2 linked regions of the Saccharomyces cerevisiae S288C genome follow. Changing the gene in region 1 together with any one later gene gives a genetic interaction. Each region holds a gene or a part of one and is shown on either strand. Other genes may lie near its edges.

Region 1 (3,760 bases):
ACAAGGCAAGCTTATCTCAGATTAGTTTTACAAATCCATTGAACTATGGGTCTGGCTTAGGTTTTTCCTCTAATTCACAACCTCGACTACCATTGTTAGACAGGCTATCGTCCGTCTCTTTATCTAAGAGACCGGAGCGCCCACAACAAAGCCTACCATCACTAAGGCATCTGCAATTATTACCCAGTCCTCTTTTACAAGAAAACGCAGCACGCTTCCCTGATACATCAAAACGTACATCTAATTGGAAAACTGATCTTACCCATTGGTGTAAGGATACAAACTATCAAGACTATGTTAAAATACGCGAAGAAGTGGCTCATTTCAAGCCATTAAGTATACCCAACTTAACTAATAATCAAAATAATGATAGTTTCAATTACGGCAAGGAATTGGAATCGACTAGGTCGTCCAAGTTCCATTCCCCGTCTAAGGAATCATTTGATCGTACCAAACTAATTCCTTCGATTCTAGAAGCTAAAGATCAATTTAAAGATCTTTCCAACAATGCATGGAGTATTACTCCTCCCGTCACACCGCCGATGAGTCCACCAACCAATAGAACCATGGAGCGCACGACGCTTAGAGGAGTAGAGGCCTCTTTTTTTGAGGGGAAATCCAGCAATAACGATTCAATATTCAATCCAATTATTAGTGAAAAATTGGTTCAAGAAGTTAAACATCAAAGACAATTACGTGGAAATTCATTTCCCATGCCAAATGCCAGTCACAAAAAGACGAACAGTTTCAAAGCTTTGCAAATAAAAAAATTGCTTGCGAATAGAGACATTCTATCGAACAATTCCAAATCTAATGTAAGGAAACCATCTAAGAACAAAATCTCAAAGCAAGCATCAAATGTTTTCGGTAACACTGCAAGACAATTGGTGATGAAACTCGACAACGCTAGTTACAGTTCTGTCTCTGCATCTTCATCTCCATCTCCCTCCACACCGACGAAAAGTGGCAAGATGAGATCAAGATCATCCTCACCTGTGCGTCCCAAGGCATACACTCCAAGCCCAAGGTCACCCAATTATCATAGATTTGCTCTCGACTCTCCCCCTCAAAGCCCTCGAAGATCATCAAATTCAAGCATAACGAAAAAGGGAAGTAGAAGGTCCAGTGGCTCATCACCCACTCGTCACACCACAAGAGTGTGCGTGTCGTGTCATTCGAGTGATTCGCCCTGTTGGAGGCCATCGTGGTCGCCAAGAAAGCAAGATCAGCTATGTAACTCTTGTGGTCTTCGATATAAAAAAACACATACAAGATGTTTGAACGATTTATGTCGTAAGATCCCCACAAAGGGTGAAATAAACATTATGAAATCCAATGGAATAGACAAAGAATTCGTCCCCGAACGCAACTGCGAAATTGAAGGGTACCGTTGCTTATTTTGTAATTACATAACTGAGACAGTAGAGAATTGATACATGGATAACTGAATCTCTTTCAACTAATAAGAGACATTATCACGAAACAATTGTACATTTCTCTCCTTGTCTGTGCTAAATAAACTACAAATAAAAATTCATTTTCTTTCATTTTCATTCGACACGCCGCGGCATCTTCGTTTTCTTCACCGATTAATTTTAATCTGCGCCGTGCAGATATTTTCGCCCATTTCGAAGTGAAATCATTCTAATAACTTCTCCTGCGCAATAGATTGGTCATCCTGATTTTTATTCTGAAATCGAAAATGAAAAGCATTTATTGCACTGAAATAGCGGAACCTGCTTCTAATAAGCTTAAAATTCAATCATAATAGTGTAGTTAATAGAAAGGACAGAAGAACTTTTCGTTCCTTGGTTTATCATCCAGGTTTCAGCACGGCTTTTGTTTCAAGTTTAAGTAGGTAAGATTTTTTGATTGTTCTACAACTTTTTCATAGTAATCAAAACCTTTGAATTTCAAACTTACTATGTCTAGTACTCAAGTAGGAAATGCTCTATCTAGTTCCACTACTACTTTAGTGGACTTGTCTAATTCTACGGTTACCCAAAAGAAGCAATATTATAAAGATGGCGAGACGCTGCACAATCTTTTGCTTGAACTAAAGAATAACCAAGATTTGGAACTTTTACCGCATGAACAAGCGCATCCTAAAATATTTCAAGCGCTCAAGGCTCGTATTGGTAGAATTAATAATGAAACGTGCGACCCCGGTGAGGAGAACTCGTTTTTCATATGCGATTTGGGAGAAGTCAAGAGATTATTCAACAACTGGGTGAAGGAGCTTCCTAGAATTAAGCCATTTTATGCCGTCAAATGTAATCCTGATACCAAGGTTTTGTCATTATTAGCAGAGTTGGGCGTTAATTTCGATTGCGCTTCCAAAGTGGAAATTGACAGAGTATTATCGATGAACATCTCGCCGGATAGAATTGTTTACGCTAATCCTTGTAAAGTAGCATCTTTCATTAGATATGCAGCTTCAAAAAATGTAATGAAGTCTACTTTTGACAATGTAGAAGAATTGCATAAAATCAAAAAGTTTCATCCTGAGTCTCAGTTGTTATTAAGAATCGCTACCGATGACTCTACCGCTCAATGTCGACTTTCCACCAAATATGGCTGTGAAATGGAAAACGTAGACGTTTTATTAAAGGCTATAAAGGAACTAGGTTTAAACCTGGCTGGTGTTTCTTTCCACGTCGGTTCAGGCGCTTCTGATTTTACAAGCTTATACAAAGCCGTTAGAGATGCAAGAACGGTATTTGACAAAGCTGCTAACGAATACGGGTTGCCCCCTTTGAAGATTTTGGATGTAGGTGGTGGATTTCAATTTGAATCCTTCAAAGAATCAACTGCTGTTTTGCGTCTAGCGCTAGAGGAATTTTTCCCTGTAGGTTGTGGTGTTGATATAATTGCAGAGCCTGGCAGATACTTTGTAGCTACAGCGTTCACTTTGGCATCTCATGTGATTGCGAAGAGAAAACTGTCTGAGAATGAAGCAATGATTTACACTAACGATGGTGTATACGGGAACATGAATTGTATTTTATTCGATCATCAAGAGCCCCATCCAAGAACCCTTTATCATAATTTGGAATTTCATTACGACGATTTTGAATCCACTACTGCGGTCCTCGACTCTATCAACAAAACAAGATCTGAGTATCCATATAAAGTTTCCATCTGGGGACCCACATGTGATGGTTTGGATTGTATTGCCAAAGAGTATTACATGAAGCATGATGTTATAGTCGGTGATTGGTTTTATTTTCCTGCCCTGGGTGCCTACACATCATCGGCGGCTACTCAATTCAACGGCTTTGAGCAGACTGCGGATATAGTATACATAGACTCTGAACTCGATTGAAGGATATATTTAACCACGACTTTCGCAAGAGAGACGGAGGGGGTGGGAAAAGGCTGAATGCAACCATTGTCACTAAGAATTTGAGTGTTCATGAACGAGTTATACACGCTATTTAAGAGTCAGAGAATGATGATTCAAGAAAATTCTGGCATTTTTCCTGTCCACCACTGTACGCCATTGTACACAAAAGTATTTTTTTATATTTTTTTTACAATTTTTTATAATTTTTTTTTATGTTTAGTGTATATTTGCTAGAAAGAAACAAGATCTTTTTTGGTAGTGTAAATGCTTAAACTTTGTCTCTTTTTCCTTTTTACTTTGGAAAAATGCCGACGCAAGAACATAGACATCTGCGAAAACCAAAAATAAAGTACCAATTGTACATACAAAAACAGAGAAAAAGTTCATGAACAGAACGTTACTACGGTATAGCAA
Region 2 (2,803 bases), on another chromosome or scaffold:
GTCCCTTATTAAAGTAGCATCTAACGGACCTGTTGTTGACATTCTCTAGCTTTATCTGTGGAAAGTATTAATTTTTTATTGAATTTTATAAAGAAAGGAATGCAACAGTATGCGTATAGTTTTTATAAAAAAAATAGGGCGCTGAAACCAAATCAAAATATCAAATGTCGTATCGTTTTTGGCTTTCAGGATTGTTGATGTTTATAAATAGTGATAAGGCTTTGCTTTTTGATATTACGACTATGGCCTATACTTTTCACTATTCTCCATGGAAGAAGTATGCAAATAAATGGAGGAAAAGATGAATACTTGACCAACATCTAAATATAAAAATAATACGAAAATCGTTCAAACTTCCGGTGTTTCTTTTTCCACTTTTGGTGTTTTTTTCTTTTCCTATTTCACAGACTAAAAATCATTCTTGACGGGGAAGTCACCCTACGCTACTTTAAAGATATAAAGAAGTAAGACATTAAGAATAATGTATTATGATGCAGTATTTAGTACTGATTGATCAGGGCAATGTAGTCCTTGCGTACAGGCAATGAATCAGCCTGATTTGACCTGTTGATAGCTTGCCATTTGGGCTCGTCCTTAAACAGTCTCAAGGCCTTGATGTGGTTGCTAGTTGTCAAGGTGAAACGATGATAGATGCCTGGTGGAAGAATCAGTAAATCACCTGACTCTACCAAACACCTAATCCAGTTCTCTGGTGTGGAAGCATCCCTGACGTCAAAGTATCCAGCACCCTCGAGACAGTATCTTATTTCTTCGTCTTCATGTAAATGCTCTTGGTAGAATGTTGCTAGTTTTTCATTAAACTCTGCTTCACTTTTGAAGGAACCTTCGCAGATGTTGACCACATCTCTATTTTTATATTCTCTTTGCCTAGCAATTTCATTCACTTCTTCCTCATTTGCACAGTATTTATAAATCACTCCTAACTTGGCTAATTCATCCAGGGAAAGTTCTGTTCCAGAATTGTGGGGTGCGCGATAATCGGAGTCAACCTTGTTGTCATGAATATATACCTTAACCATTCTAACTTTTGACCTTTTTACGACCTTTTTTAGTGTCTTGTTTGGTGGTTATTGTTTTTTTTGATCTGCAGATGCCACCCTCTTTGTTCTTTTATACTTTGATGTTTTTCAATATGCATATTTCGGTGTTAGCGACTCTACTGTGGCGTCGCCCTGTCGAGCGGCTCTTACAAGGGCCCTTTCAGTCGTCAATGCAAAGAAAACTGGCAGAAATTACCTTCATTGCGCCGTTATGCTATCTTGCCTCTCTCCTGTTATTTAGAAGGCATCTCACTATCTAGACAGACAATACGACTTGCGCACATGTGAATCATTAACAAGATCGTGATTATCGCTACTTCTGCATAGTTTATAGGGAGAAAAAGAGAAGGAAAAAATTGTGTCAAAAACGGGCCAGAATATAAAAAAAAAATATTAATTGAAGAGTAATATGGACTATCGTAAAATACTTGTACTGAACGAGCAGTTAGTCTTGATCTAGAAGAGATGAAAATACCGGTGGGCGGTCGTTCAATCTTCAGCAATTGCAATTTTTTTTACGCATGCAAGATATATGTATGACTTACTCGAGCAAAAATTTTTTGTGCGGGAAATCAAATTCGCTTCAGCCTATTATTTACGCACCGGCAAAGCCCTGAACAATAGCAAGACTCCGATATTTCAGCGAAAGCATTCTTTGCCTGCGTGGCTTTCGTCCGCGGTTATTATTACTGCGCCTGTTAGCAACGACGGAAGTCACTCGATTCTATTTGCTCGTAAAACTCTAAGAATGATAATGCCTATGTTTAGTCCGCTTTTCAACAGAAGTCCTGACGATTGCCCTTCTCATCTGACCGCTACCCATATCTTTCAGCAATTCAGCGCTATGCTGGATTACGGACAGAGTACAAAGGAAGCCACTAACAAGCGCAGGTTAATAAAGGGTTCTGACCTACTTGTTGCCTTGGATCGGAATTGTATTCCTTCAGCCCCCTTTGTCCCCGAAATTGCCCTGCGTAAAAGCGGCGCAGTGGGGTCCTAACGTTTATTCCTTCCAAAGCTTTCTCATGCCACATAGTGCTAAAATAAGTGGACGCATGGGTTTCCTGCACGGACTTCTTCAAAGCGACCTAAAAAGTCCGTTTCTAACTTCGCCTTTCCTCATTATATGCGGTTTACGCCCTTATCTATAAAGGGAAATAACCTCATACAGTAACATGTCCGCTTATTCCCGCATATTTTTCTCAGTTAAGCAACATTCATTTACGTCTCCTATTTTTGCTTAGAAGATGACTTGGTTACTTTATTTTCTTCTAACTGCTTAGGTAAACTACATCATCTAATATATAAAGACGCTTCCACCACATTTAACCAACGGAAACGTCTCTTCGCTGTAAGGTTCTACATTTATTAGGTTATACTAACTAATCAATTCTTCGTTCTTTTCTTAACATTTCTCTCTTTTTTCGTTCATATAACGTAAATTACACGAAGCTATCCATCCTAAGGGCAAACGGGAAAGAAAATAAAACAAAACCATGAAGTTGCAGAGTTTGTTGGTTTCTGCTGCAGTTTTGACTTCTCTAACAGAGAACGTTAACGCTTGGTCACCAAATAACAGTTACGTCCCTGCGAACGTAACCTGTGATGATGATATTAACTTAGTCAGAGAAGCATCTGGTTTGTCAGATAACGAAACAGAATGGCTGAAAAAAAGAGATGCATACACCAAGGAGGCTTTGCATTCTTTTTTGAATAGGGCCACTTCGAATTTCAGTGACACT

The links.
Region 2: mutations in SPE1 (region 1) and ADI1 together harm fitness less than expected from each alone (positive genetic interaction), as found in Saccharomyces cerevisiae (3 studies listed by BioGRID).

What each region holds. Positions count from the first base shown.
Region 1 is NC_001143.9:94,833-98,592, forward strand, and holds SPE1 (ornithine decarboxylase SPE1), read left to right. Parts: upstream 1-1,924; coding exon 1,925-3,325; downstream 3,326-3,760. Other genes in the region: DNA-binding transcription repressor ASH1, read left to right, coding at 1-1,433; YKL183C-A (uncharacterized protein), read right to left, coding at 3,563-3,760. UniProt on the Saccharomyces cerevisiae protein: Catalyzes the first and rate-limiting step of polyamine biosynthesis that converts ornithine into putrescine, which is the precursor for the polyamines, spermidine and spermine.
Region 2 is NC_001145.3:282,339-285,141, reverse strand, and holds ADI1 (acireductone dioxygenase (Ni2+-requiring)), read right to left. Parts: upstream 1,041-2,803; coding exon 501-1,040; downstream 1-500. Other genes in the region: ANY1 (Any1p), read right to left, coding at 1-42; YMR008C-A (uncharacterized protein), read left to right, coding at 1,594-2,061; PLB1 (lysophospholipase), read left to right, coding at 2,558-2,803. UniProt on the Saccharomyces cerevisiae protein: Catalyzes 2 different reactions between oxygen and the acireductone 1,2-dihydroxy-3-keto-5-methylthiopentene (DHK-MTPene) depending upon the metal bound in the active site.